4 linked regions of the Arabidopsis thaliana genome follow. The protein of the gene in region 1 interacts with the protein of each later gene in a pairwise test. Each region holds a gene or a part of one and is shown on either strand. Other genes may lie near its edges.

Region 1 (7,024 bases):
AAGAACATTATCTAACCTATTTACAATAATTTATATAAATCTGGTATGTCAGATAGTACAGTTTACAAAAAAAAAATCAAATGTCAAATTGATCCAAATGAAAAATATCATGACATACTTTTTTGAGCATGGGAGAGAGTCGGATGGAGACACATGAACGAAAGGTAAAGTTGACCCAAAATTGTTACTGAAGTCCTCACTTTGATCACGAGATTTGGGTTTTGTGATTTGGGCCTTACCCTAACCCATTTCGATTGAGGGCATTTTAGTCATTTTATATAAACCGACAAACCGGTAAAAGCAAAATGTTTTCCCACTAAAAGACTGAAAAAAACACTAAACCAAAATTAAATCATCAAAAATCAAAATCTCTAAAATCAAAAATTCGCATTTTCTCTCTCGCCGGAGAGATGCAACGGTTTCTTCTACCTTTACTCTTCCTTGCACTATCGCCGCCGGCGATTTGTCATTACTCTTCCTCAACCTCTTCACCTTCTTCGTCCTCCGTTTCTTCCGACGCCTCAGAATGGCGTCCAGCTCGAGCCACCTACTACGCCGCTACGAATCCTCGAGACGCGGTGGGCGGTGCGTGTGGATACGGAGATCTCGTCAAATCTGGGTACGGTATGGCTACTGTTGGTCTAAGCGAGACTCTGTTTGAGCGTGGTCAGATCTGTGGTGCTTGTTTCGAGCTCAGATGTGTTGATGATCTCCGTTGGTGTATCCCTGGAACTTCAATTATACTCACCGCTACGAATTTCTGTGCTCCTAATTACGGATTTGATCCCGACGGTGGTGGTCATTGTAATCCACCTAACAAACATTTCGTGCTTCCGATCGAAGCGTTTGAGAAGATCGCTATTTGGAAAGCTGGGAACATGCCGGTGCAGTATCGAAGGTGCGTTTCTCTCCGCTTTTTCCCAATTTGTTTCGCGTTTTGTTAAAAAAATGCGTTTGCGGTGGTGGGGAACGCGGTTCTGCTTTTAGACGCCACTATCGATTTAAAAAATCCGGCGATGCTTTTGCTTTTGTGTCTTCTTCGATATCCGTGTGCTTTATTATGTGAGATGGGTTTACCCTAAATCTCTTCCTCAATATGCAATTTACTTTATTGCCCCTAATCGTTTTATCTTAGTGTGTACAAGATTCTGAGAAATGGTAGATAGGTTTGCTCATCATAGTTGAGTAGCTTTGCTCTCATTTTCATCTTAGCCATGAGAGGACTGAAATTGACTGTTTCTGTGAAGTTCTAGGCACAATGCGGTAAACTACTATTTAGGTTCATGATACAATGGATCATTAGATCCTTTATTAGTTTGTGAAGTGTTTTGGAGCTGAGCCTATAAATAGTTAGTTGCATATCACTTAAGTTATGAGTTATGACTTACAACCATTTTTGTTGGCTTTTACCAAAACAGGATCAACTGTAGAAAGGAAGGGAGCATGCGGTTTACAGTCGATGGTGGAGGCATTTTCATTTCGGTTTTGATCACCAATGTTGCAGGGTCCGGTGATATAGCTGCTGTGAAGATCAAAGGGTCGAGAACCGGGTGGTTACCTATGGGTCGTAATTGGGGACAAAATTGGCATATTAATGCTGATCTCAGGAACCAAGCTCTCTCATTTGAAGTAACTTCTAGTGACAGGTCAACCGTGACATCTTACAATGTCTCCCCGAAAAACTGGAATTATGGACAGACCTTCGAAGGGAAACAATTCGAGACTCCGTGAGACAGAGACGGACACATTGAGATACAATCCCATGATTCTTTTTTTCCGGGTCAGAATTTTTTGATGGCAAGTATATCGATCTTGGTCTAAGGTTATCTTTAGGGTTGAAAAGGAAAGAACTTGGGTCAGACTTTTGCATTTCATAGTTCTCTCTCTCCCACGCATAGGTACAAAAACTCACCAATGTACTAAGAACAGTGATCACACAAACATCACTATTGTATCTATTTGTTTACATTACTAAGGAGCGAAAGCTTCCTTCAAGTGCTTAAAGCTAATGATGAGTACTGAGTCTTATCGTAAAAAGAATCCAAAAGGGTACTGTGATATAACAAGAATCAGAATAGCTAAAGGTTATAACTTCTCAAAGTCAAAAGATATTAAACCTATTATAGCCATGAATGTAAGTTCACTTACTTCTCCAATGTGAAGATCACTCAGGCCAAAAGGATCACCGTGTGTTGTAAAATTCCTATGAACATCCCACTTCTCTTAAAACTCTACAAGAGAACCCCAAACAAAATAAAAGGAAAAAAAACAAAAAAAAAACGTGTCAAGAACTCATAAAGATTGATGAGATTCAATAAGCAACGCATTGAGCATGACATGGACAGCGGCATCATAGACCGCAGAGTCATAATGCATCCCGTCAAGTGTACATTGCGGTCCACAGTTCCAGGTAAACGACTGGATATCAAGCAAGATAAGAGGACCACCCATTTGACGTAAGATCTTACTCTCCCCGAGTGATCTATCATACTCATGCCACACCGTATCACTCATCTTCTCCTTCTTCTCATCCGTATTCAACATCCCGTTGATCAAAACCGGCATCCCAATCCAGAACAGATGCACAGATCTACCGGAGACCGACCCACCTCCTTCTTGCTCCTTTGGCGTAAGGGGCACTAGAGACTCCACATGACTACTCAATTGCCTCAACCTAAAACCAAAATCTGAAGCATTGTTCACATGAAGCATATGCCATAACCCAGTTCCCATGATCACAACATCAGGATACTTTTTCATCTTCTTATAAGATACCACAAGATCATCCAAATCTTTCTCATAAGGAGCCCAAACAAAATCAAGCTTCATCCCAATCTCCTTAACCACAATGCTGTAATCACTATGTCTCCTAAACAAATCCCCTCTAACCGAATCCATAGCCTTGGAATCCGAACCCAAAACAAGATTCAACAAAGACAAAGCCACGAATCTCGCCTGAGAATCACCAGCAACAACAACCCACGATCCATTCAACAAATCCGAAACATCGAACTTATCCAATTTCTGAAACTCACAACTCAAAACTTTCCTCGATTTCATCCAATCCCAGTTCTTCACGAAATAATCAAGCTTTGTTGAGCCATTGTTCCTACGAACAGACTCCGGATTCGGTACCGGTTTAACATCCCAGACAATCTGATTAACCTCGTTGATACAAGAGATACGATGATCGTAGACAACAACAGAGGAAACAGAGGCAACGATGTCGGAAACGGAAGGGAAATAAGGCGTGAGATGAACACAAACCGCGAGAGAAATAAACAAAGCGCCACTAAAGAAGAGCATCTTGTTCCTGCTCAGATGCCAACCAGCCATTGCCATGGGAACGAAGAGGACGAAACAAGCTGCTAATACTCCCAAATGAATCGCTCCTAGCATCTCTCAGACTCAGATTTCGGAATCAGACACATCTAGATTTCCATCTAGACAAAACCAATTTCATCCAGATTCGAATTAACTCTTTTTCTCTATAATTTAAGAAGAAGCTAGGGTTACGGATTTGGTTCGGTGAAGAGAATCTATCAAAATTGAAGGTGAAGATGAAAATTTGGTGAGATTGAAAGGAACAGAACAACCGTAGGCTTCTTCTTCTTTGGTTCGATTTTTTGTATTTAAAATTTTCCATATTTGTAAGATCTCCATTAATTTATGATCTCATCTCTCTGACTCTCAGACATGGTTCGGCTCACTTTAGCCTCATTATGGAACTGGGAACTATTCTAACGTGCGCTCACCGCTGGGAATCACGTGACCGCTTTTAGATTAATCATAAGTTCCTCGGCCCACGGTCAAGCCCATTTATTCACGTGACCGCTTGTAGATTGATCATAAGTTACTCGGCCCACGGGAAAGCCCATTTAGCCCACATCGTTCAACAAATCAATGACACTTTCCTTATGTGTATTTTCATACGTACGATTTCATCTTGGAATGACATTAAATTCTGTAGATCCGCGTTTTCATCATATAATAAATGGAGAAAAAATCATTATAATCATTTAGACTTCTTTTTTTATAGCTAAAGTTACATGTAATTTCGTGATTTTTCTTCACGGTCTTAAGTCTTGGGGATCTTGTAGACTCCGAAATTTCATAATAGTTTCAACCGATTTTTACATATTAACTTTTAATTTATTACTTTCTCATTCTAACCAAATTTATATATTTTTGCCAATGAGGCAATGACCCAATCTAATGGTGGGGCTAATCATAGGACTAATATGTTATTAGTTTATAGAATGTGTGTGAACGTTAAAAAGAATTAAGTAAAGAACCAAAAGATGGATTCATGTGAGGGAAATGTCTCAAGAAGGGTATGTACTATGTACACATTGTAGATATATTAAAGATATATATATATGTGTATATATATGGTGATACAAAGAAGAAAGAGAATATGGAATTTGGAATAATGAGAGAAAAAGGTTATGACGATGATGAGAAAGGCTGAGAAGTGATTCTCTTGGGTTGGCCCATCAATAGCTTCCAAGGATTTATTCACATGTTCACAACTGCTGGATCCCACATGATCATACATATAACCATCTCAAAACCATATGCTTGTTCAAATTTTATATATATATATATATATATATATATATATCTGATCGATTTCATTTTTCCAAATTTTAGATAAGTTTTTTTTTGATAAATCAACTTTAGATAAGTTTTATAGTCGCCTACACCAAATGTGACTGTATGTTCATATGATTATATATAGCTTTCGAGTTTCGACCAAAATGATAAATACTCAAACTATAATTTCTTATATCCATAAGTCTTTGGAGTACGTAATTGGACTTTCGGTCAATAGTTTTTCTATATTGGAACAAAAGTTTTGGTATTTTATATGACGACACTAAATATGGAGAGGAAAGGATTTCTGGCCACTCAATTTTTTAATTTTTGTTTCAAAATCTCCGAAATTTCAATTTTTTTTCCCGAATCACACAACCTTACATTAACAGCCTAATACACTAGAAAATATATGAGCATTAACTGATGGAACGACCATAAAATGGAGTTCATCTTTCTATTCGATATACGATATACAATATGAATATGAGAAACAGAAATAGACATATATAAATGACAAAATAAAATGTAAAACACTACTAGTATAAATTTACAACATCAAGATATCTATTTTTAAAAAAGATCTATGTACGTAGATCGGATGGCAATGTGAAGGGAAACAAAGGATTCGCATGCAAGTGGGTACAAAAGAGACAGTTATTTCAGTTAGAAGTGCCGCCAAATAACAAAAAAAAAAAAGAAAAAAAAGAAAGAGAGATTGCAACAGTTTTGGGTTAACCCAAGATTCGATCTCCCATGCAACCAATAGAAATCTGACAAGTGCACATATATTCCAGACCGACCACTCTCGGAGAAGCATGGGATAATATAATTGATGAAGAAACACGGTTTACATTTAGGGCGGCAATTTTTGATTAATTATTCCGGTTAAGTACCAGAATCTACACGTGATCATGTTATTTGTTAGCATTTTAATTATCTATCAATATAAAAAAAACACTTCGAACAATATTATATATGCGTCGGACAGAAATTGATGAATTGTAAATATTAATTAAATTTTGAATTTTTTTAACATTATATGTTATTTTGGGATGGGGACCTTCCCTTTATTCACTTTTGCATCTCCCTTTTTCATTACCTCTTTATATATAACCTTGCTCTCCAAGCCCTCAACGAACACAAAACATATACCTATTCTATAATCTCTTCTTCTTCCTCTCGAGTCTCGATTCTCTCTCTTTCTTTCTTTGAAATTGATTCAAACAAAATAACTTCAAGAACAACTTGAGATTATATATATGGCTCCTGTCTCGTTACCTCCAGGTTTCCGATTCCATCCAACAGACGAGGAACTAATTACTTACTATCTAAAAAGAAAGATCAACGGTCTAGAAATCGAACTTGAAGTTATCGCTGAAGTTGATCTTTACAAGTGTGAGCCATGGGACTTACCAGGTAATATTAATTTGACGTTTCCCTTGTTTATGCATGAGATCCACTTAATCAAATATGATTTAAATTTTTTGAAAAATATGATTTCTGATCAACATTAATTACGCGATTCTACTTTAGTTATCAAATTCTGCATATATTATTCATTTATATGGATTTAAATTACAACATCTGTAATCGTTAAGAATTATTATTATTTGTCTAAAACCCATAGGAACAAGAGAGATTGAAGAAAAGAATAAGAATATAGCATTGATGAAGAAACCCTAAATATACTTTAGTCTCTACCGGGAAAATACCACATGTGCAATTACACATACTAGTTCTGTAAATAACTATTTTATTATTTTTTTCATCATTTTCACCAAATCTTTTAGGAATTAAAATGTCAAAATAATTTTTAAAAATGTTTAAATATAAAATTGTAACTCATGAAAACATGAATGCCAGCTTAATTGAATCATAATTTTAATTTACGTCATCCAATATCTGCTGATAAATTACGTTACTTAAAGTAATCAATTATGAATTCAATAATAGGGAAGTCCTTGCTTCCGAGCAAAGACCAAGAATGGTACTTCTTCAGCCCACGAGACCGGAAGTATCCCAACGGCTCAAGGACAAACCGGGCAACTAAAGGCGGTTATTGGAAGGCTACAGGTAAAGACCGCCGAGTTAGTTGGAGAGACCGAGCCATAGGAACCAAGAAGACATTGGTTTACTACCGTGGGCGCGCGCCACATGGCATAAGAACTGGTTGGGTCATGCACGAATATCGACTTGATGAAACAGAATGTGAGCCTTCTGCATACGGCATGCAGGTTCGTTGCTAACTAACTGGATTCGACTACAATCATTTTAATATTGTACATAGCATTAGGAAAAACCATCTAAATTGAATTTTATATTTGTAGGACGCATATGCACTTTGTCGTGTGTTCAAAAAGATTGTTATTGAAGCTAAGCCAAGAGATCAACATCGGTCATATGTCCACGCGATGTCGAATGTGAG
Region 2 (8,857 bases), on another chromosome or scaffold:
AAATCATGAAGAGTGAGCATAAATGTCAAAACTAACCAAACCATGACAGAAGATAACGTCATTTACCCATCATTCATCAGGGATTCCCCTTCAATTATGGTGCTTAGCTTCTTACTAGCACCAAGCTCCTTTAGCAAAGCAACAACAGCAACCGGATCAGTAGCACTTAAAAGTCCCCCAAGCAACAAGGACGTTTTCCAGTCCCATTCATACGGAAACGTGACCTGCATATAGCAAGTATAGTTTCATAACATAATAATCGATTTGTCTTTCTTTGTTTTCAGGACAGCTACTTAATACCAACCAGGCTAATTCATACCTTCACAAGCGATCCAAGACAAGCTGTTGAAATAAGAACTCCAGGGACAGCAAGTAACACCATTTGTCCCAGACACCTCTAAAGAATCATGCAAGTATTCAGTACCTATTTCTCTTAACCTTTAAGCTTAACTAGGAATTAGAGCCAGAGGAATAAACCTTAATTTGGTGAACTTCCATTGAAAACGAACTCTCGAAAAGAAGAGCCGGAAGAAAAACAGCTAAAAGAAGTTCTGGATCGATCTCATTCCCTGCACAATAACATTGATTCTATAGTTCTTACAAAGCCAGCCATGGAAGAGAAGAAAAATTCGAAACTAAAAACTTACAGATACGAATTCCATGGCCGATCTTTCCAAGGTTATGTTTAGCTCCATATTCTGAAACACCAAACAACATGAATTAGCAATTAAGCATGATTACGTTGACTTCAAGGATTAAAACAGATGAAGAAATCAGAAATTCCATGGAACGAAATCGAACCGAGAGATCCAAGAGCAATTCCGATAACGAGAAGAGCGACAGTGTAAGGAACCCTAGTTCCACGAAGCAAGTGCCTAGAAGCAATACCGAGTACCAGAGACATTCCGACGAAGAGAACGGCGTCGACAGGGCTAGATTCTAGTTTGGAAGAAGAAGAAGAAGAAGACGAATCGGTCGCTTCCTCCAGAAATCTATACGCCATCGTCGCGTCGATTACAGTCGTCATTTTATTTGAATATATCTAAGAAGCAACAACACAGAGGAAGAAGAAGAATGCTCGTTCACTGAAAAAATAAATAGCTGAAAGAGAGTAAATACTTATAGAGCTATACATACACACGTGTATAGTACTGTAGTGTTAAATTAAAATTAAATTTTACTATTAATTTTGTTTATGATAACATTATCATATTTTTCTGCTATATATTTTTCACAATTTTCAGCCGACCAATTCTTCAATGTTTATATTTTTTCTGACCAAGAGTATATTAGAACCAGAATTAGATAAATTAATGGAAATATAATGATGACAAAAAAATAATATAAATATAATATATAGTTTGTTTTGGATTTTATAGATTGATGTCATATAGATGTGAATGTGACTATGGTATCTTCACAATGAAATTAGTGCTTAATTTGTGTACAAGAATTTATTGAAATTGAGTTTATTTGTAATAAGTATTCCAAAACCTGGTTTGGCCTTAAAAGGAAAAGAAATATTCGTAGTTGGTTTTTTGACATTTTGGGACATATTTTTCTTATGATTTAATTGATAAGACCTCTTACTGTTGTACTTTTTTGAATAAACAATTGCAAATGTAAATTGGCTATTTTAGAATTAGACGACTAGCCTACCAAAAATACATTTATAATGTGGATTTTGATATGTGTGTGAGTGTGTTTACTTCGTGGAGTTTGATGTGTTTAAGGTTTCGAAAATATTTGAGAATTTGGATTAGCCTGACTCTATTCGGCTGATCCAAAACATTAATCTGATACCTTTCAATTCTTCACGTTAAATTTATAATATTTTTTAAACTTTCAATTATGCTTAGCTGATGCACAACAACATTTTCAATTTCGCATATCAGAATAACACCAATTATCATTTTCATGCTACCCAGAAGCACCTACAAGGTATCAAGTGTGCATGTTAAAAGACTGTTTGGGTTAGTATTGATTAATCGACCAACCGTCGATCCTAATGAAATGCTCAAAGATAGAATCCAACATAAAGAATCTCTATTGGTATTCAAGATTTGCTTATAGAGTAGTGATTGTTAGTTAGTTAGTTTGTTATTCTTTGATTTTCCAATCAGCTTACGAAGATTTTTCAAGAGTAGAGATGCTAACAACATGCATAATAATTTGTCTAATGGTAAATTCTACAATAGGAAAAGAGTTTACATTGATTACTCTATCATTAGTAGTTCAGGGGATAGTAGATGTTTGTTTTGTTCTAAGGCTTATGTTTATGCTCTGGAAAACTGGTTCCAGGCGAGAAGATTCAGAGAGAACTCGTTGATGGATTACATATCATGGTCGCTGATGAGTGTATGATTCGCCACCACCATCAAAGAAGGTGCAAAATCAATAAGTATCAGAGCTGTTACAAAAATAAACTTTATAAATAAATAAAATTATTGTCTGTGTAATTAACATCTTAATTTTATAGTGTTCTTATTTATCTGGTTTGGTTGCAAAAAATTGAGTTTAGTTAAGATAATCAGGTATATAAATTACTACATCATTCATTTTATGTACAAAAAATTTGGTTTATATTCCAATTGATAATACTTTTTACTTGCTTTGCTTTAATCAATTTCATAAACGAGATACTATTGTGAAAAAAAAAAACGAGGCACTATTGATCTTTTTTCTTTTGACCACCTTTTTATTTGTATCTTCATCATCATGATTTTGTTAAAGAGTAAAAAGAACATTACTGATTGTTATAGTCACATGGAATGCAATAAAACTCCTATAAATAGTAGAAAGCACAAGAACGAGAGAATCACTCTACCAATAGAAAATTGCTACTTATTAAAAAAAAAACGACAATTGTAACAAAAAATATCGATTATAGAAAGTTTTATTTGCTTCAGTTTATATCACTTGCCTCTGCCATTCACAAGTTTCTTACGAAACGTATTAAATAATTTAAAATTTTGTGAATTAATACGAATTTTGTTTAGAAGATTTAAGAAAACAACCAAAAATAAAATATATAAAAATAATCATTTCAATTTCTAAAAAAAATATTAAAATGTCGCAGATTTTATTTTCTTACATAATGCTTTTTATTCGCAATATTTTTTCTTAAGCATTTAGTAGAAGAAAATTCGTTAAAAAGAGAGATAAAATAAATAAAAGTAATATAATCGTCCTTTTGCCATAAGCGTTGCTCTCAAAAATATAAAGCAAACTCAGATCTCACGATTTTCTTCTTCCTCTCACATTAACACACATCATCATGAGATTACCAACGACGCTGCTCCTCTTTATCGGAGCTCTCATCTTCTCCGGCGCCGGTACTGTCAGATCCGATGCCTCCGACCACCGTTACAAGGACGGTGACTCCGTTCCTCTCTACGCCAACAAGGTCGGCCCCTTTCACAATCCCAGGTAAATCCAATTCTCTAATCTCAGTTCCTTTGTCGGTAGCTTAGATCTGTGATTCTCTTTGATGAGTGATAAATTGATCGTTGCAAATTTCTGTAGAAGCTTGCGTTGGTATTGAATTTTTGTATCTGACCTTGAAAAAATTCGATTCGTGTTCTTAAAATGTGATAGATCTTCGATTGCATTGTTATATGACTGATTTTTACTTGTGTTTGATGATTGTTGCAGTGAGACGTATCGCTATTTCGATCTCCCCTTTTGTATTCCAGGTACGAGCACGCTCAATGTTGTCTCTGTTATGTGTGGTTTTTCACTTTTTTCGGATTTGTGTATTTTGGTGTCAATATGCATTTGTTTTGGTTTGTGTAGAGGGTGTGAAAGATAAGAAGGAAGCTCTTGGTGAGGTTTTGAATGGGGATAGGCTTGTTAGTGCTCCATACAAGCTTAACTTTAGAGATGAGAAAGACTCAGAGGTGTACTGTAAAAAGAAGCTTAGTAGAGAAGAAGTTGAACACTTTCGAAGAGCTGTTGAAAAAGATTATTACTTTCAGATGTATTATGATGATTTGCCTATTTGGGGATTCATTGGGAAGGTGGACAAAGAGAGCAAATCTGATCCTAGCGAGTTTAAATATTTTCTCTACAAACACATCCAGTTTGAGATTTTGTACAATAAGGATCGGGTGATTGAAATCAATGCTAGAATGGATCCTCATTCGCTTGTGGATCTTACTGAGGATAAGGAAGTCGATGCTGAGTTTATGTACACTGTGAAGTGGAAGGAAACTGAGACTTCTTTTGAGAAAAGAATGGATAAGTATGCTATGTCTTCTTCTCTTCCACATCACTTGGAAATCCACTGGTTCTCCATTATTAACTCCTGCGTCACTGTCCTTCTTTTGACTGGTTTCCTTGCAACCATCCTGATGCGGGTCCTCAAGAATGATTTCATGAAGTAAGTTTTGAATGCTAACTCTTTGTGCTTGACTCACCGATGCACACTTTTGTTTCCAACCATTAACTTTTCCCCTAACTTTCAAAGGTATGCTCAAGATGAGGAAGCTGCTGATGATCAAGAGGAAACCGGATGGAAATACATTCATGGAGATGTCTTCCGGTTCCCAAAGAACAAATCTCTCTTTGCTGCATCTCTTGGTAGCGGTACCCAGTTGTTCACTCTGTAAGTCTCTTTTCAGCCTCCTTCGTTTATCTTTAGTTATTCTTTGCCATTACTAACTGTAATATACCTCATATGTCATCAGGACCATCTTCATTTTCATGCTTTCACTTGTTGGAGTGTTCTATCCATACAACCGTGGAGCACTCTTCACTGCTTTGGTCGTTATCTATGCTCTCACATCTGGAATTGCCGGATACACTGCCTCCTCTTTCTACTGTCAACTCGAAGGAAAGAATTGGGTATGTAAACCCTTTCCCTTTACTCTTTTCAACTTAAAGTGATAAGCTTTTCATTTCTCACCGTTCTTCCTCTTCAGGTGAGAAATTTGCTGCTAACTGGAGGTCTCTTCTGTGGCCCACTATTTCTCACCTTCTGCTTCCTAAACACCGTTGCAATCGCATACAGTGCAACTGCCGCTCTTCCCTTTGGAACCATCATAGTGATCGTCCTCATATGGACACTAGTCACTTCGCCTTTACTTGTGTTGGGTGGTATTGCCGGTAAAAACAGCAAAGCTGAGTTCCAAGCTCCAGTCCGCACCACTAAGTATCCTCGGGAGATCCCGCCACTCCCATGGTACAGGAGTGCTGTACCGCAGATGGCCATGGCTGGATTTCTTCCTTTCAGTGCCATCTACATCGAGCTATATTACATCTTTGCCAGTGTTTGGGGCCATCGTATCTATACCATTTACAGCATCCTCTTCATCGTCTTCATCATCCTGTTGATCGTCACTGCTTTTATAACAGTTGCCCTTACTTACTTCCAACTCGCTGCTGAAGATCATGAATGGTGGTGGAGGTAAATTTTTCCACCCAAGCTGGTTTTTTAATTCGGTTTTTGGTATATGGAATATAGAAAACCAAATGATAATACCAAATACAAATAGCTTAGAATTGCTATGGTTTGTGTTTCGTTTTAGTATCAGTTTCAAACTGATTACTTACGTAGGGTTTCAGTTTGGCTTGATTAGGCACATCTACTAAATCCTTCCGTAGATTTTAAATTCGAATTTGAATTGGATTGGTGATAATAAAATTACATTGTTATAGTTATTAATATTCTTTGTTGCAGATCATTCCTATGTGGTGGATCGACTGGTCTGTTTATATATGCGTACTGCTTATACTACTACTACGCAAGATCAGACATGTCTGGTTTCATGCAAACATCCTTCTTCTTCGGGTACATGGCTTGCATTTGTTACGGTTTCTTCCTCATGCTTGGAACCGTTGGCTTCCGCGCTGCTCTCCTCTTCGTCCGCCACATTTACCGGTCGATTAAATGCGAGTAAAACTGTTGCTGCCAATCACCCTCCCCCTTACGATTTTTGGTAGAACAAAGAAGATGATAATCTGTTCTTAGGTAGATAAAGAAGAAGACTTCTTCGAAGCCAGAAACTGAATACCAAATCGCTCTGTGGTCACATTTTTTTTCCTTTTTGTTAAAATGTTTTGTGGCAGTTTGTTTTCTGTGATATGATTTATAGACGAAACTATGTTTGTTTAGGTGAAGTCTTTCTCTTCTCTACTACTTTAGAGAGTTATCTTCTTTTTTTGGTAATTAATTAAGATAACTTTGTAACCTTTTTTTTATTGATCTATATATATTCTAAAGACGAAAAAATAACAACTCTCTTGAACCAAATCGCTAATCTATTCGATCAAAATCATCTATGAATTTGTGATCTATCTAAACAAAGAGGTGAGGGAAGATAAGAAAACACCGAACTGCCACCATTTGCGCAGCCTTGGAGACTTAATGATCCTAACCTGACAAGTCATACAATCATAGTACAACACACTTAACTCGTGTCTCCACATATCGTAATAATCCTTTATGTCTGCATTGCCACCGTAACGATCATAGATCATTGCCGTTTCCAAAGGTGGTCCTTCACGATTTCTTGTAACCCACAATGTTGCATTGACCGTCTCTAGTTTGCAATTCCCTGGCCGATTGCAGCATCCAGTCTAACACAACAAACAACAAGAACAAAAGATTATGACTTTTTTAAAAATATATCAAGAAAAGATTTTCTCTTTCGTCATATCTTATTAGGATTTAGTGGTATTAAATCTTGCATATCACGGCTTCAAATATTTAAAACAAATTAATATATGTACTTTAAATAAACTAATTTTTCAAAATCTTAATTGGATAAATAAAAAGATTTTTTTGGAACAAAAACCAACAATACTTTTAAAAACTACTACGGGTGTATTCAAATTAGAATTTAAAGTGATTTGAATTTTGTTGAGTTTTTAAATGATTTTGATAATTTTAGGGAAGTCTATATAATTTTTGTAAAATCCATTCAAATCTCACCTTAAACCATATGATTTGGATTTCTATATTTTTAACTAAAGAAATCCTCTCGAATCCTCCAAAATTATTAAAATTCAAATCCACAAATTGTTTACAATAACAACGATATAAAAATCAAACTAAAATACTAAAAAAAAAAATAGGCATATCTAAATAAAATCTAAATCCCAACCAAAATTGTAACAAGTTGATACCTATATTAGATTTGATATATATCTAAGTAATAAATAATAATTATTCTAAAAAAAAAAGAGTAATTGATTCGTAAGTACCTTAACAGATGGTAACAATCTTCTATCATACGGTGGCAAGGCATAGCTGTTGACAAACCGCAAGTGAACTCTTTGCAAGCGTCCTTGACTTTGTTCTATCTTAACCACTTGATATTGTTCTGTTTTACGTTCTCCTTGTCCATTATTATATTCTCCCTTGAAACACATTGGTGTCGGAGAAAACCGCCGGCTTTCCATCTTGTACACACCGGAGTAAGCAAAACCTATGAAGAAGACAATAACTAGGAAGTAGCTGAGCCGTCGTGGTCGGAGAAACATACCGATGTTGCTAAGGAGGAACAAGGCGAGGAGAGAGACGCTGACGAGTGTTTGTACACGTGGTAACGTACTTTGGAAGTCGCGGTAGTAAACGTGGTCGTTACGCATGCAGAAGAGATACAAGGCGTGGCCGACAAGAGGAGCCGAGAGGAAGAAAGTGATGATCGGAAAGAAGATTCCGGCGACTAGATTCCATGGCTTATGGCTTTGTGACTTCATTATTGGAGAGCTTCAAGGACAGATTTGATTTTCGTATGATCAAATCTCCTATACGAGTATTTATCCCCACAAAAATATCCTTTTGTAGGAGTTACTTACGCAATCAAGTGTTGACATGTGGCAAATTCACCTCAAAACTAGGCATGGGCTAACAAACCGAACCGAATGTACCTAACCGAATCCGAAACAAAATTAACCGAACCGAACCGAAAAGTGAAAAATAACCGAATGGATACTAAATTTATAACCGAAAGAACCGAAACCGAATGGATAATAACCGAAATATTTCGGGTAACCGAAAATATCCGAAATATAAATATATTTTCAAAATATTAGTTATTTCTATAGTAAATAATTAAAAAAAGTTGAAAATATATACAAAATGGTTAAATTATTCGAAATTAAGCGAAAATATTCAAAAATATCCAAAAATAACCAAAAATCCGAAAATATTCAAAATAAAATAACCGAATGGATATTAAATTTTAAAACTGAACCGAAACCAAACCAAACTTTCAAATTAACAGAATGGATACTAAATTTTAAAACCGAAAAAACTGATAACCGAATGGATAACCGAATGTCCAGGACTACCCAAAACAATAAGGCATTAGGAACTAAAGAAAATTTGATATTTTCGGCAGTGATATATATGGGCCGGTTTTGTTCGTTTAGTTGGGCCAAATTGTAATAGGCCTTATAGTCTACTAAACAACAATCTGACGTCATGTCAGAGATAGAAGACTTAACAAAAAGACAAGCATGCTTGTTTATAGGGATGATCGAAATCATCATTTCTCCAACTTGTTTATAGTTTTTCAAAATTCACATCTTTGGGATCGATGGTAATAATTAAGATATCGTTTTGACGGGCCAACACCTAAAGTAATAACTATGCCACGTGTGTAATTAGATAGAGTGTGTGTGTGTGTAAATAGAGAGAGTGTGTGGGTGTGTTTACTGTTTCCAGTAAAAAAGTTAAAAAGCTGAATGTTTTGACAAGAATTTAACAGGAAACAAAAACACTAGAGTGTACTTACCAATCATTTGAACACAGTACAAAAGAGAAAAGTGGATAAGAAACGCGTGCCATTCACGACATCTTTGGTCCCTCTCTCTCGAGCCTCCCGTCAAAAACAACTTTTTAACATGA
Region 3 (6,612 bases), on another chromosome or scaffold:
GAAATAATCAATTTCTCCTCCGGAACAATCAAATTGATCACCAGAAATTATCAATTTCTCCACCGGAAAAATCAATCGATCACCAGTAAAACCACGCCAAATCCATGAAAACGCAATGAAACAGAACGGATTTACAGAAATGACTAGCATAAACGAAACGCAGAAAAACTCTTAGATCCAAAACGCGAAACTCATAACTGATTCGTTGGTTGAGAATCTAGATCGATTACCTGGAATTTGATTCCGAGAAACTGAGAAACAGAGAACGAACGGCGTTTTCTCCATCTTCTGTAACTGAGAGACCTTGGGATGCGAAGAAAAAAACGATCGGAGAAGAGAATGAGCAACGGATTTCTTCAAGCTACTCTGCGTTTGCCGCTATCATCTGTTTTCGAATTCCCTCCCTCTCTACGCCACAAAATATATGGGCCTTGCTTTGGTGTCCCTTTTAGCCCATTTTAATTCACATCAACCCAATTAGCAACCCCACAATTAATTTCGGTTTTCTTTTTTTTTTATAGATTTATTTAATTCTATTATATTTCTTCTCAAACCATTTTAGTTCTACTATCCTTATTCTTGATTATTATAAAACCAACAACCAAACACACTTTTAACATTATATATACTTATCAAAACTAATATTTTCGATTCTCAAATATTTTTAGTTTATATTTATATGCATTGAAAATTTCAATTCGAAAGATATTACTTTCTAATCTACTAAAAATTAAAGTAATTATTTATATGACAGAATCTTTATAAAAATCTAACAAAAAAAATGAGTTTTGACATCCCAAAATAAATGATAACATATTATATTTTCTTATTAATCATTTTATTATAATTGGGATCCAACAAACATCAACATTTTATTCTTTGAATTACAATGTTTATTATAATTATCTTCAGAAAATGGTAAGAAACTTATAATATATATATATATATATATAAGTATATTTATTAAACTAAGTTGTTTATACATATATATACCTTATAAGATACTCAAAACCTATAAAAAAATTTACCCACAAAAAAAAAACATAAAAAGGATAATCAAACTACACCTGATTACGGGAAGGTTTTTGGTTTCATAGTTCTTTTTATGTACATAAAAAAAATGAGACCCAAATCCAGTGAGATATGAAAAGTACAAATATCTTAAATGAGAAAAAGTCATTATTTCATTGTTAATTATAATTTTAAAAAGATAAAATATAATATGTTTTGAAGATATATCATCAAAATACAATGACTTTTTTCCTACAAGTATATACAAGGAAACAAAAGAGCTAACGTGTGGAAAAAAAAAAACAATTAAAAAGAGAGTTGAATTTTTAATATATTCACACAACTTGTAATAGATTAGCATGTTTGTCTACTTCGAATACTCTTCTTCAAGTCAAACCATATGATTCTCACACGCAGCCTCGCTCCATACCTCACGTTATAACTTTAAAATTTCGTATTTTCTTGACTATGCTCCATTTACATTAAGTCCTGTCATATTATTGGGAGAAATTGTATCATCATATATCTAGAATTCTCATATACACTGTCGACATGTTATGTATTACGGTATAAAGAATATTGCAATCCTATATTATTATTTTTTGAATTTCCAAAGTTTAATTTAAAATTAAGAAAATGATAACAAATCCGAGTAAAGTCAACAATTTCCTTCGAAAATTTATGAGTATTCTGCTGCCTATTTTCTCACACCCACCAATCATATTGTATGTCCCTTGAATCCAAGTAATAGCTATGAAGAATAAACAAAAGTAGAAAAAATAATAAAAAACAATTTAATTACACAACATGAGATCCATTCAATCTATTAGTAACTTGTTATTAGATTATAGTAACCACTTTCTGTCTCTTGTTCTACCAAAACAAAACGCTTCATCATGAGCTCTAACAACAAAACTGATGATTCCGACGACCGTTCTTTCTGGCAAAACTCGACTTCTTACGATGCCAGCAGCAAGATTTTCCTCGTCACCACCGTTTCCTTCTCTATTATTATCATCATCGTGTTCGTTTATTATCTCTACGCAAAATTCGTTCTCCACCGTAGATCAGCCTTCCAAGACCTCTCCTTCTCTGTCGTTTCTCAGCCGCCAAAACGTGGCCTCGATTCTCTAGTCATCGCTTCTCTCCCAACGTTCGTGGTTGGAATCAAGAATGACGTGGCGGGTACGGAATGTGCGGTTTGTCTAAGCTTATTGGAGGAGAAAGATAATGCAAGGATGTTACCGAACTGCAAACACGTGTTCCACGTGTCTTGCGTTGACACGTGGCTCACCACGCAGTCCACTTGTCCCGTTTGTCGAACTGAAGCCGAGCCAAGTCATCCAAGGCTTGAGCCTGAGCCTAGGGAAGGGCCAGTTGGCGACTTTGCACCGCCGTTAGATTTCGCGGGGGTTGATAACAAAACCGGCGGATCATCGGTTTCGAGGTTAGACTCGTTCCGGAGGATTTTGACAAGGGAAAGATCTTCGAACAGGCGGGATCATTCTCGCGTTGACCAAGATCGTGAATTGGATATTGAAAGACAGTGAATTCAGTATATAGTATATACACACATACGCCGGTTAAAAAAAAAAAAGTATAAACACACATGCATCCATAATTAATCCTTAATTCATGAACCATAATACTTCTTCTTCCTTTTAACTTTTTATTCTTGTACTGAAATCTTTTGTATGTGTAAATATGAATGGCACACTTTTTGTATGTTACAGTAATTACAAAAACATTGTTGCTTATTGCTTAACGTGTGAAAAGGGGAAAAGAAAAAAAGAAAGTTGAACTTGTAACATACAATCGAGACAATTTTGTTATTAAGGTATATCTAATGCGTGTGTGCCCTACATAGACGACTCTTCTTCAAGTCAAACTTTGTGGTTCCCACACGTATCCTCACAGGCTCACACGTTTTAACCTTTAATTTTCGTATTTTCTTGACTATATATATTATCATTTTTTGTTGACAAAATAAATTGTATTATCATATTTTAAAATTTTGATAGCAGTATCATATGTAACTCTAACATTCTATGTTTAGAGATGAATTTATCTATATATATCTACTTGGATAAACCAATTTGCACCATACTATTTGCAGCATATGAGACTAACTAACTCTTGATACACTGAAATGATGGTAGACAATTCAGTCTATATATGCGAGTTAACTCCTAATACCGTGAAATCATAATAGGCAAATTCAGTCCACAAATTTTTTACGTAGGATTTTGATATTTTCCACTCTTTATATATACAGTCTATAATCTTCAAACCTATCACCTATAAATAATCTACAATCTACCATTTAGTCAACAATGGTGAAATTTCTAAACCCTCGTGAAAGTCTACCTATCTCCCAAAGTTTCTAATTCTATCTACTTCACATTTTTCTCCACCCACCAACTAAAGTATAAGCCTTGGAAAAACAATCAAAATAAGAAATTCTATAAGTCCTTTATTCCTTATATAATAAATCATAAGTTAGTAAACTCTTTTGTTCACTTTTCTTTTGCATCCACCGAAGAAAAACCAGCTTCACAATGAGCTCCAACGACAGAGATCATCGCAGGTTCAACTCTGACCACCACTCATTCTGGCCTAATCCGTCTACTTACGATCTTAACAGCAAGATCATGCTTGCCGCAGTGGCTTCTTTATCTGGAGTTATCCTCATCGTCTTCGCTCTTCATCTTTACGCAAGATTCGTTCTCCGACGCCGTAGAGAAGCTTTCCGTGGCCTCCCCGTCATTTTCCGCCACCCTTTTGAGATGCCTAAGCGTGGCCTCAATCCCACAGTCATCGCTTCTCTCCCTACTTTCACTGTTGGAGCCACTGATGGCGTGGCTGCCTCCGCTACTGAATGCGCAGTGTGTCTAAGCGTGTTAAAGGAGCAAGACAAGGCGAGAGAGTTGCCCAACTGCAAGCACATCTTCCACGTCGACTGTGTTGACACGTGGCTCACCACTTGCTCCACTTGTCCTGTTTGTCGGACTGAAGTTGAGCCAAGACCGAGACTTGAGCCTGAGCCAAGGGAAGGACCAGTCGGTACTGCACCGCAGTTGTTGGTGGAAACCAGGCTGAACTTGACTGTAGAAGCCGCATCCTCTTCTTCCTCAGATAACAAAACAGTTGTATCCCCGGCTTCGCGATTAAATTCGTTTAGGAAAATCTTGACGAGGGAAAGATCTTCGAACAGGATCAACCATTCTTGTCCTGACCAAGATCGTGTGGCAGATCTTGAGAGACATTGAGTCGACATATAGATACATATTATGCATATAAATCATATACACATATCGATAATCTTTAATTTATACAATATCCTCCTTTCTTTTTTACTATATCATGCTCTGTTTTTGGTTTTAGATAGTTTTGTGTAACGGAACACTAAATATATGTTAGTCAAAAGATACATCTGGTGCAGTTCATGCCATTCAAGTTAACTATTCACAGTGGTAGACAGTACATATCAGGGCTCCATAAAAGATGCAGAACCATTTTAGTTACATAAAACTGAGGGAGAAGAGAGATCATAAAAGGGTTACCTTCAATCACCAATCGGAAGCTAAACCTGTTGGATAATCAGTGTCATTGTCACAATGTGGCCTAAAATGACGAAGGGTGACAACCAGCTGCTAAACATCCGCCTTGCTCGGCTCAATCTGAGAATTCTGGTGCAGTTGCTCCCTGCATTGAAGTGGCATCTGCGATACTTCCATTGCTCACTCCCTTACTGCACACCAGATTTCAACAGCATGAGTGTAACTATTACTATACTCAATGAAACGAAGCCTCATGGAGAATGAGAACATTTTCAAAAAAATTGCTTTAATAGTTTTTGAAACTTCTTCTATGTTCTGCAGTAACTGCATCATATTGATAATATGAACAATATAATCACCAAGATCAAAATCAATTGTCGAGGAGAAGTGAAGTAACTTCATCCTTCTAAGCCAGAAGCTAATGAAAAAAACAAAAAAAAGATTTCATTTCACTCAAAAGTTCAAAACCCATCAAACTAGAAATCATTTTCTAAAAGAACCTATGATGGATCAAAATTGCTCCAAACAGACTATAAATGAGACACACACACAAACGCTAATTGGCAATACAAATGTGGATTACTTAATTACCTTGAAGGAAACTTGCATGTTCCTTGACCTGAAAACGAAAAATTGCAGAAAAAGCATCAAACTTTCAACATTTTCAATTAGCAAAAGTCATAACTATCTGCTAGACATTGATCCTGAAAGAAAATGTGAACTTACTAGGATTGAGAGAAGTAACAGCTGCGTTGTTACTAAAGTTGCAAGCTTCATCTGCGAGACCATTCCATCAGATAATAGTTATTGAATACATACGAAGCCATCTTCACTATATCCAATGGATCGTAGCAGGATCCACCTTGCTGAATCTAGACGCAATCAGCTCCTCTGGGACCACAAGCCCAGTCAATGGCCGTTTAAAGTGTTGAATCCTCAACGTTGTTCTTCGCCACGCACCAAAGCTCCGTCTCTAATACCTCCCCACCAAACTCCGCAGTAGCAGCAACCGTAATGAGGAGAAATAGAGAGATTCATTAGGAAGCAGTGAGGCTGAGAGAGAGAATACACGATCATTTTCCGAGAGATTGATCGATTTTGTACTCGGAGATTTCGAAGAGGAGGAAGAGTGTGAATTTGAAAGAGTCGAATAGATGTTGGAGTTTGTTGTGATTAATGTAAAGATTTGGGTGAATAATGTAAAATATTTTAATTCTTACCGGTTATTGAACTCGGTTATACTGATTTGGGCCGTATTAAACTCCGGCCCATATACATATGGGCCTCTAATGAAGTGTTTTTAGCTGCTCTGTTTTTGATGACGGAGCATATTAATTATGGTTAATTAGTAAACAAAAAGACTCTTTAGCTCCTTAACCTTTTCAATTTCTGAAAGAGGAGGAGATCGGAAAACAAAACCCAGTCATGGATCCTCCGGCGAATCCTTTTGCATCTCGAGAGCAAGATACAGTAACTATTTTAAGAAACCTGATTAAGCAAGCTACTTTGGAGGAAGAAGTCTCTGAAGCTTCAGAGACACATTCTGTTCCGAACAAAATCAGAATTTTAGAGTCAGTGTCGGACGAAATGAGGAAATCGCAGGAGAACGGTAGTGATCAGAAACAGTTGAGTGAGGAAGACGAGATTGATATTCTGGATTCAAAAGCCATGAGCTTTTCTTTTAGTTGTCACGGTGGTGGGCCAAAGCGGAAGAAATGTAACGATAAGAAACGTAAGCAGCAAGAAGAGAAGTCTAAGAAGAAGCTCAAGGTACTTGTTGAAACATTAAAGCTTGTACCTTTCAAGCCATTAAAAACCCTAGATTTTGCTTGTTATGAGAGTCTCTTAAAGACTCTCGGATTGTGGGATTTTGTGCATTTGGAATTTGATCAGGATATGGATTATGATCTTGTGGCTCAACTTATAGCTTCCTATAGTGCTGGAGGTAAGTGCAGCTATATAAACGGGTCTAGGATTAAACTTAGTCGTGCGGATTTGGCTCGATCTTTGAAGTTGCCTAATAAGAAAGAACGTGTTGTCA
Region 4 (9,816 bases), on another chromosome or scaffold:
TGGTTTATTTTTTGTAGATTATCACAAGGGTGTTTACAAACTTATAACAATAAATCAATAATTCATAACAATTGAGATATAAAAGAAATAATAACAAAATTGTTAAAACATCGTCAAAAAGAGGGTACTTAGAAAAGGAAAAAATAAAAATGTGAATAAAACATGGAAAGGAACAGAGGAAAACTATTATTTGACCCAAAACATATAAAATAAAAATGTAGGAAAAAGGAAATGGACCTACAAGCCGATAGGAGGCTCTCAATGGCAAAAAACGTTCGATAAAAAGGAGAAAAAGGCATCTTTGTAAATGATGAAACGGCGGCGTGTGGGGGCGCAGGTGTTCATAGTGCGCATGTTTCTTTTGCAAAGCTTTAAAGCTTGTGACTTCGTGGCTCGGCTCGGACTTGCTTAGCAACTTTTAAGTCTTTGGGTTCATAGATTCTCGAGTGTTTCCGCTCCCAGCCTACGCCGACACAAGAGCTCTTGGTCTTGGGTTCAGACTTTTTCATTTTTCTATATGTTTTAATTTCGTATTCTTTTTGTTGTTAAAGTTTTATTCTCAAACCAAGAAAACAAGAAATAAAACACACCTGATTATTGATCTAAAAATTATGAATGATGGAGTGTGAAAATCTATAATAATTTTGAGAATTATGGAAAGAAATTTCTGAGAGTGATGAAGCAATATAATTTTTGACTTTTATGCATGCGTGAGAAACATAGATATAATGTAATTAAAAGAATAAATGACAAGAATTGGGATAAAATTTCTCCATCAACATAAATTACAAATTCAATTTTTTATTATAATTTAACTTTAAGTTCATAGTTGGCTTAATTAAAAACACACACAGGTGTTTCAAACATTATATAACCGTTTATCTTTGACCAAAAAATTAATAACCGATTATAACAATTGCCATCTCCTTTAAAAACCGAGTATTAGTTATTAAGTATTAGTATTGATTATTTTTCTAGGTCTAGTAGAAATGCAATTTGGTTTCCAAGTGATGATCAAACTACCGTCAAATCATTTCGAAGTGTTTTTTTTATATCAGAAACTAAGTCGATTTCTGAAAAACGTTGTGATGTATAGCATACGCCTAACTTTTATGCTGAATGTAGATAGCTAGAAACCTAATTGTTTAAAGATGGAGAAAAAAAAACTATAGTGTCCTCCATAAAAAACAGGTCATCTCCGAAGAGTTATTTTCAAAATCGACATTAATGATCAGTTACATATTTTTTAATCATTATTTGAAACAATTATTTTATAATTTTAGCTAAGTATGTGATTAAAACAAATGAAAAAAAAAAACTCTAAAATGGAGGGATGAACATATTTGGGGAAGTGATAGACAATGATATTTCATATTTAACCATTCGTTATTGAATTTAGGAGTTGATAATTGAATGCCTATGAAAAATATGTTCCTATTGTTAGAGGTGGGTTGGAGTCTTGAAGACAGAAGACGCTCTAATATACAACTGAAGTTTGAGTTGCTTGTAAATTCAAGTTTTGTATAATTTATTTTCATTAACTGCAAACTAAAATTTATATAATATTGCGTGAAACAGAAGCAAAAGCAAGCAACTCGTTGGGTAAAATCTGCAGTTTCTGCACCAAATTAAAGAAGACCTGCAACATTGCCGCCTTTACATAAATACACACACTAGATACATAGGCTCTATGTATCTTATAGTATACGATATTTGTTTAGAATATTCTGCAAGTTGATTAAATTTCATGGATCAGTAGACTTGTTTATATTCTAAAGTTTCAAGAAATAGTCAATTTGTCTACGTATAATTAAACCGTTTCTTAGCTGGAAGTTTACGATAACGTATCCAACATTTAAGTATTGTCGAGCCATATAATTAGAGAAAATGACTAGTGAGAACACTGAGAGGTTTAGCAGCTGAGCAAGCAAGTTACTTACAAAACTTGGAAACAAAGGTTGTCACACTAATATTCACACTACGTGAGAATTCGTACAGTGCACATCAATATAATATTTTTAAAACAGCAAAGTGAAAAATGAACATGATACTATATATATCCAATTTATTAACAAAATTTTATAACTTATAGTATCAAAAATAGTAAGACTCATATTAGACCAATATATATTAATGCCTACCTACCTTTGACCTTAGGAGAAAGTATGAATAATTAACATGTATCCAGGAATGGCATTGTAGAAAATACTATTTTACATTACTATTTCATCTAAGGATTGAGATTTCATATGAATTCAATGATTTATATTTACTGCCAATATTTTTTTATCTTACTAATTTAAACGAAAGAGATATTTTAACTTGAAATAATTAGAAAATAGGTTATAGATCATTCAAACATAAAATTATTAAACTGTTCAACTATTTCTAAATGATTTATGTTAGCCGTCAGATAATTAACATGGAAAATTCTAGTTTCATCATGATAATACTCCAACTATATGTGTTAATATGCGTATAAGAGAGAGTATGGCGTAGTATCCAATCATTTCTTAGTATCATGTAGTATTTGGTATATGCCGTATAGTAGTACCCAATTATTTCTTTGATGGGCAAATGCTAATGACTAATGAGTATTTTGCAAACTCATGATCACTGAAAACATGAGCCTTCGGTCGACGATCAGGTGTCTTAAATTTGTCTGCTCTTTAATTTTTGTAGGATAAAAAATTGAAAAATTTGAACTTTAGACCATAGAATAGATTATTCCAGCTAGTAATCTAGAATAAGAATGATGTGAAAAACTTGTATTTAGTGGTTGATCATATAACCAAACCAAAGGATGATTACGTTTTCCTTAAACTCTAAAAACATGCAGATTATTGATCTGTCCATCCTAGTTTTAGGTACGGTATTAAATTTAGATAGCTGTTGAAAAAAAACAAAAGTGAAGATATCTAAATCTAGATATGTTGGAGCAAATCCAGTAGTGGATTCTAAGCAAAGTTTCTAACCTATAATAATAATAATAAAATAATAAATAATATTATTTAATTAAGATAGTTTATAAGGAAATGTGAGAGAGTTTCTAATTCAAGAGATTTTGAAGACTCTTCTAACTATTTTTAGAAACTTTTCAAATTAAATAATATTATTTCTTATTTTATTATTATTTTAGTAGATTAGAAACTATGGTTAGAAACCACCATTGAGTATGCTCTTAATTTATATCCTATAACAAGTCAATAAATCGTCAAACATTAATACGTTGCATTATTTGTTTGTCATCATATCTTAAATATTTCGAATTAAATGATACGTTTTCGTCACACAACTAATGCTTTTTAGTAGATGAAATATAGTAAAATACGATTTTATGTATTTTGAACCCATGTGGCGTTATGTTTTAATTTATTATTGGATAGTAGAAGAAGCCGGAAATTCTGGATGTCAAATAGTCACATTAATATTCAATGCGAAAACGTAAAAAAAAGTAAGATGCTACCGTTACCTAAACAAAAGTTAATGGTGTGATTTTACAGCACCTGTTTAATATTTTTAAAATTACATAAAAAAACCAAAGAGAAGTAAGAAAAAATGAAAAAGAGAGATTGGTATATAAAAAGGAGGAGTAGGGGGTGAAGCCCGAAGCATCTTATAGTATTTTTAGCTTCATTCCTTCTTTTGCTCTGATCAAAGTCTTCTCCTTCCCTTCTCTCTCTCTTTCCTCCTCTGCACATTTCTGGGTTCTTCTCTTCTTATGCTCTGTTTCTTTTAAGACACAGAAGAAACAGTACAGAGTTGAGATTTTCTTAAACAAAAGTGAAAAGAGAAGAAACAAGTGACAGCTCAAACGGACAAAAACCACTCTTGGGTCTTTCTTGCTTCTGATTCTTTCTCTTCTCTAATAGAAGAAAACGTAAGTCACTCTCTCTACTCTCTTTTTTCACACTGAAGAAGAGAAAAAACGTGAACAAAGAACTGTCAATTCTCTTTCCCTCTCTGTTTTATCTTCTTGAATTCTCCAAGATTGAGATCTCTCTCAGTCTCTTATGTGCTCTGTTTTCTCCTCTCTGTTTTCACTTAGTTACTAAACACAATCGATTCTTTCGCTCTGTTTTATTTCTCAGATCTAGAAGCTAAAAAAATGTCGGAAGGAGTAGAAGCGATAGTAGCAAATGACAACGGAACAGATCAGGTAAACGGAAACCGTACCGGGAAAGATAACGAAGAACACGACGGCTCCACCGGTTCTAACCTAAGCAATTTCCTATGGCACGGTGGCTCTGTCTGGGACGCTTGGTTCAGCTGCGCATCTAACCAAGTAAACCAATAAAACCATAAACTAAAGATTCAAAATTTCGGATTTCTCATAGTGAAGAAAGATCTGATTTGTAGTAATTATCGTTGGTTTCAGGTGGCTCAAGTGTTATTGACATTACCGTACTCGTTTAGTCAACTAGGAATGTTATCAGGAATAGTACTTCAGATCTTCTATGGTTTACTAGGAAGCTGGACTGCTTATCTCATCTCTGTTCTCTACGTCGAATACAGAGCTCGTAAAGAAAAAGAAGGCAAAAGCTTCAAAAACCACGTCATTCAGGTCCCCTCTTTAAACCCTCTCTCTCTAATCAGAATCACTAAATCATAATTATCTTTCACTAATCTAACACTTTTAAAAATCTCAACAGTGGTTTGAAGTACTTGATGGATTACTTGGTTCATACTGGAAAGCACTAGGACTCGCATTTAATTGCACTTTCCTCTTGTTTGGATCTGTTATCCAACTCATTGCTTGTGCCAGGTCTGTTATCTTTTAATCATTCTCTTTATCTTTTTAATCACTCTTTAATGATTAAGAATGGAGGATAATTGAAATATGATTGGTGTTTACTTGCAGTAACATTTATTACATAAACGATCATCTGGACAAGAGAACATGGACTTACATATTTGGCGCGTGTTGTGCAACCACTGTCTTTATACCGTCGTTTCACAATTACCGAATTTGGTCATTCCTTGGCCTTGGAATGACCACTTACACCGCTTGGTACTTAGCCATTGCCTCCATCATCCACGGCCAGGTAATGTTTTAATATATTTCACCAAAAATATATTTCATCACATTATAAAGATCACTACACTGTCGTTTTCATATTTATATGCTTTGCATTGAGGTGACAGTATATGCCTTAATTAAAAAGAAGAATAAAAAAAATTCGTATTTTCTCTTTAAGATCAGGGATTATTCTTTGCATCTTAACCCAAATTTGTATTAAAAAGTGTATGTATAATATAACTTAGACAAAATTAGCTGTTTAATATTCTCCTAATCAAATTTTTTTTTTGTTGTTTATTTTAGGCGGAAGGTGTGAAACATTCAGGTCCAACAAAGCTAGTGCTTTATTTTACGGGAGCCACAAATATTTTGTACACCTTTGGAGGTCACGCGGTTACTGTGTAAGTTACTCTTCTTTTGATTTCTTAATGATTATTAATTTTGTATCTAATAAAAGATCAATAAATTTTGTCAGACATAGTTGAATTACTATTTAAGTTAAAGCTAAATGGCAGAAAAAGTATATGGTAAATTAAAATGGTGCCATATTATTAAATTATGGGTGCTGCTGTATCGTTTCTTCGCCGCTTCTATTGCAGCTTTTGCCGGCAAATAAGGTGTAACTATTATTACAGTCATCATGATTGTCATTATTATTTTTAGCAATCCTTAAAATAGTAGTACTAATAAAATAAGCTCTTTTTAAATATAAAATAGAATAACCATTATTATTCCTATCCCTATAAAGAATAACAAACACTATTGCTACCAAAGCACTACTACTACTAGTAGGAATAGTACGCTTTTGCGAAATGTCAAATACACCCTTTTTATGCGTCAATGATTGTTGTGAATCCAATCTTTTACATAGTTAAAGTTTTGGATGAAATTATGAATATTAACAGTAATTTCTAATTTGCAGTGAGATTATGCATGCTATGTGGAAACCACAGAAGTTTAAGTACATTTACTTGATGGCGACGTTATACGTGTTCACGCTAACGATTCCGTCAGCTGCCGCCGTTTACTGGGCTTTCGGAGACGCACTTCTCGACCACTCCAACGCTTTCTCTCTTATGCCCAAGAACGCGTGGCGTGACGCCGCTGTTATCCTCATGCTCATTCATCAGGTATACACATACAACATTTTTGTTCTTTCTTTTTTAAGTAAATTTTGATCATGAGAGATTAATGCAACGTGTTCTTGTTCGTGCAGTTTATAACGTTCGGGTTCGCTTGTACACCTTTGTACTTTGTGTGGGAGAAAGTGATTGGGATGCATGACACAAAGAGCATTTGCTTAAGGGCTTTGGCTAGATTGCCTGTGGTCATACCTATTTGGTTCTTAGCTATTATCTTCCCCTTTTTCGGTCCAATCAATTCCGCTGTCGGTGCTCTTCTTGTTAGCTTCACCGTCTATATCATCCCATCTCTCGCTCACATGCTCACTTACCGATCTGCCTCCGCTCGTCAGGTATAACATCTTTACTAGCTCACTCTCTTTTAGCGTTTCAAAACTCGAACTTAACCTAAAATACATTGAGTTACCAATAATTTTTTAGAAATGAAATGAAGAGTCGGTGGAGGAATATTATAGTTGGGGGGTAGGGTTGTGAAATTGGAGGGCAAAAACGTCTTTTGTGGAAGATAGATGGGGTTCAGTGTTCCGTATCTTACGGAAGATAGGATCATCACCCACATTCCTTACTGGCGTCCCCTCCAAATAATATATTATTGAGTTGGTTTCAGCCATTTCTTTATTTGGTTACATTTAGAAGAAAAAATACAATATCCGGTTAGGTTAGTATTAGTAATTGACCATGACTTCTTTTTCTTTCTCTCTTTCAAAACAGTGTATATTAAATTTACGTAAGATAAAAGTAGAGGAAAATAGGGGAGAGGAATAGGTAAGAGTCATAATCAGAAATGAAAAGGAGCTGTACAATAGGGACTCTATGCCTAACATTAATCTAAAGTGAGAGTCTGAGTATGACAAATCACAATCATATCTCTCTCTCTCTCTCTCTATCTCATGGGTCAACAAAGCTTTGGATTTTGTCCATTACTATACGACCAAAACTCTAAAACACTTACACACTCTCTATTTCTTTAATGGTTCTCTGATTATTTTTGTGTTTTGGATCTTTCTTGTAGAATGCGGCGGAGAAGCCACCGTTCTTTATGCCGAGCTGGACGGCGATGTACGTGTTGAATGCTTTCGTGGTGGTTTGGGTTCTTATAGTCGGATTTGGGTTCGGTGGATGGGCTAGTGTAACCAACTTTGTTCGTCAAGTCGACACTTTTGGTCTCTTTGCCAAGTGTTACCAATGTAAACCAGCTGCAGCCGCCGCACATGCCCCGGTCTCCGCTTTACACCACCGTCTTTGAGAGATCGAGTCAGGGTTCTTCTAATGCGTTTGTGGAGGGTTCTTAAAATTATTTGTTCTTCTTTTGTGTTTTGTGTTCGTATACGTGAAGGGAGTAAAAGTCACGAAAATAGTGTACTTTTTACACACCCCTTTAAATGCGTGCTAAGCTCTTAATTATTTTTTTCTCTTTTGGGGTTTTGTATTTTTGTTTTCACTCCTTAGTTTTTTTTTTAAAATTGAATAGTCGATAATATGTAGTGTGTGATTTCTTAATTTGGTATTGTTAAAACAATAGGCTAAGAAAATGTATCGTCTTCTCTCCTTTTACTTGTCTTTAGTAACAAAAAACAATTCTTATCTTATACATTTATCCTAATTAGACTTATATAAACTATTTTACCATGAACAATATCTTCCGATACTAGATAATTCTTTAGGATCCTATTAGATCTTTTAATTATACAGTTTTGATCATAGCACAGCGACAATACTACTAAGTTTACATTAAAATTTTGAAATAACACTTTAATTTATTTGGAAAATTTGATTTAACGGCAGGGTGTGTTTAAAAATTAAATAGGGGAACATGGACAAGTTGGACCGACGGAGCCGGTCATATATCCTATGGGCCACATGGGTGTGGGGAGAGGACGCACGTGGATACTTCGTCCGAGTCACGTGCCATTATTTACTTGACACTCTTCATCTTCTCTCTGATCAAAAGAATGGATCAGAGGACCGTTCCTGTCCCTCATATTAAATATGGCATGTGTTCGTTCCATTCGTACTCAATCGTTTACCCCTTATCATATGCTCTGCTTTCACATGTACTTTGCCCCCAAAGATTATAACTATATATGTAAAATTATTAACTAATATTCTCGTTTGAATCCAGAGTCCGATTCTTGTACTTTCCATCTGACTTTTTTTTTGTTGGGGGTCAAAATAAAAAAGAACTTTGCAAAAATGTTTCTTCTAATAGCATAAAATCGTTAAAGAGAAAAGAAGAAGTGAATGTGAGTCATATTATGCGATATGGAGTAGGACCCTTGGTAACGTTTGGTTAGTGACCCTTGGTAACGAGTGGGTTCAAATTGTCAATAAACTATTATGTGGCGAGTGGTGAATCGTCTTTAATTTGTTCTGATTTAGGCCATGTGAGTTTTGCAACTACATTTGAGGCTTTTCTTCTTCTTTATATTAGACTTTTTTTTTTTTGTAAAGTGGACTATCTGGATACAAAAAAAATCTCGGCTAACATGGATAAATCTAAGATGGTTGTGTTTGTGAAAAGAAAATTGTTTTATAGTAAAATACGGTATGCAATAAAAGTATTTCATAAAATATCTCATACCAATTATTCAAGCATGTCTTTTCATAACATTTGACTGGCATCTTTCTCTCCTTTGGCCTTAAATCAATTTTTTGTCATCTTGGATTTCTTTTGAGGTATATAGAGCTGTTTGAAAATTTTGATGGCTGAAAATCACTTCACATCTCGATTTCTATATCATCCACTTAACTCGAAGTCAGGAGTAGCCTGAGACGATTAGGTTAAGTTAAGTGGTTATATGAATTTGTAACAACATTTAGATCTTTGTTTCCAATCATCAACCAAGTTTGAGAGACCTTAAAAACGTATATACGCACACCACAAAGTGATATGAATATGCTAAATTGTTTCTGTAGACACACAAGACCGTTGAAACGTCCAGATTAATCGCTTACTCCAGTCGAGAATACTTCATAAACATGGGACTAGAATTGTACCAACACATAATATTTCTTCATACGAAAGAGAACATAGTCTTAGCATGTTCAGGATTTAGAATACATTGAAGAAACACACATCTTCGTTCATGGCCTTAAGGTACACGAGGCCTAGGAAAGGTCTCATACTCTTGTTGGGTTTGAACTTGAGAAGGTATTTGAGGTACACGAGGCTTAGGGAACAAGAGCTTCAGGCGAAAAGCATCCATCCCATTCAAGTAATAGTGGTATAGCCGTTTGGCTCTTATAAACCCGAGTCGCCCATATAGTGCTAATGCTCCTTTGTTACTCACTTCTGCCTCCAGAGTTACCTTCAGCCATACATCTTTACATTAATTAGATTGCATAACCAGACAACCATACTCTCATGTTGTAATCAGGCTTGATTATGAGGAACTTGAAGAGCAAATGCCAATCACGAGGTTCTTTTTCCAATCTATTTACTACTGAGATTACAGTTAAGAGATCACACATACAACAGAAAATGATTCGTCGAATACGCAATTAGTAAGTGGGAGACAGGGATTTCTTATTTTATATTACTATCAGTTACATTCCAATGCGTGTGACTATAAAGAGTCATGGACTACATACAAGACTTATACAACATATGTATACTAAGTGAGAGACTGGGATTTTGATTTCCACTACAAAATT

What was found.
Region 2: the proteins of AT3G03210 (region 1) and AT2G01970 interact in a protein complementation assay, tested with the Arabidopsis thaliana proteins (one large-scale study listed by BioGRID).
Region 3: the proteins of AT3G03210 (region 1) and AT2G42360 interact in a protein complementation assay, tested with the Arabidopsis thaliana proteins (one large-scale study listed by BioGRID).
Region 4: the proteins of AT3G03210 (region 1) and AUX1 interact in a protein complementation assay, tested with the Arabidopsis thaliana proteins (one large-scale study listed by BioGRID).

What each region holds. Positions count from the first base shown.
Region 1 is NC_003074.8:737,362-744,385, reverse strand, and holds AT3G03210 (Pmr5/Cas1p GDSL/SGNH-like acyl-esterase family protein), read right to left. Parts: upstream 3,683-7,024; 5' UTR 3,400-3,682; coding exon 2,293-3,399; 3' UTR 2,077-2,292; downstream 1-2,076. Other genes in the region: EXPA13 (expansin A13), read left to right, coding at 411-898, 1,419-1,731; NAC045 (NAC domain containing protein 45), read left to right, coding at 5,859-6,015, 6,553-6,833, 6,927-7,024. UniProt on the Arabidopsis thaliana protein: Component of the plant cell wall polysaccharide acetylation pathway. Does not directly catalyze O-acetylation of xyloglucan but exhibits weak acetylesterase activity in vitro.
Region 2 is NC_003071.7:449,240-458,096, reverse strand, and holds AT2G01970 (Endomembrane protein 70 protein family), read left to right. Parts: upstream 1-3,137; 5' UTR 3,138-3,277; coding exon 3,278-3,429; intron 3,430-3,654; coding exon 3,655-3,695; intron 3,696-3,795; coding exon 3,796-4,381; intron 4,382-4,468; coding exon 4,469-4,606; intron 4,607-4,688; coding exon 4,689-4,845; intron 4,846-4,922; coding exon 4,923-5,407; intron 5,408-5,680; coding exon 5,681-5,900; 3' UTR 5,901-6,239; downstream 6,240-8,857. Other genes in the region: SOS1 (sodium proton exchanger, putative (NHX7) (SOS1)), read right to left, coding at 67-224, 320-397, 478-569, 648-698, 802-1,027; TET14 (tetraspanin14), read right to left, coding at 6,295-6,579, 7,207-7,704.
Region 3 is NC_003071.7:17,637,338-17,643,949, forward strand, and holds AT2G42360 (RING/U-box superfamily protein), read left to right. Parts: upstream 1-3,460; 5' UTR 3,461-3,569; coding exon 3,570-4,280; 3' UTR 4,281-4,453; downstream 4,454-6,612. Other genes in the region: AT2G42340 (uncharacterized protein), read right to left, coding at 231-285; AT2G42350 (RING/U-box superfamily protein), read left to right, coding at 1,908-2,561; AT2G42370 (uncharacterized protein), read left to right, coding at 5,997-6,612. UniProt on the Arabidopsis thaliana protein: E3 ubiquitin-protein ligase able to catalyze polyubiquitination with ubiquitin-conjugating enzyme E2 UBC8, UBC10, UBC11, UBC28, UBC29, UBC30, UBC35 and UBC36 in vitro.
Region 4 is NC_003071.7:15,969,385-15,979,200, forward strand, and holds AUX1 (Transmembrane amino acid transporter family protein), read left to right. Parts: upstream 1-3,491; 5' UTR 3,492-3,880; intron 3,881-4,091; 5' UTR 4,092-4,108; coding exon 4,109-4,285; intron 4,286-4,378; coding exon 4,379-4,564; intron 4,565-4,652; coding exon 4,653-4,765; intron 4,766-4,861; coding exon 4,862-5,045; intron 5,046-5,323; coding exon 5,324-5,421; intron 5,422-5,942; coding exon 5,943-6,150; intron 6,151-6,236; coding exon 6,237-6,494; intron 6,495-6,582; coding exon of another isoform or gene 6,583-6,588; exon of another isoform or gene 6,589-7,174; coding exon 7,175-7,408; 3' UTR 7,409-7,796; downstream 7,797-9,816. Other genes in the region: ATMAK3 (Acyl-CoA N-acyltransferases (NAT) superfamily protein), read right to left, coding at 9,255-9,470. UniProt on the Arabidopsis thaliana protein: Carrier protein involved in proton-driven auxin influx.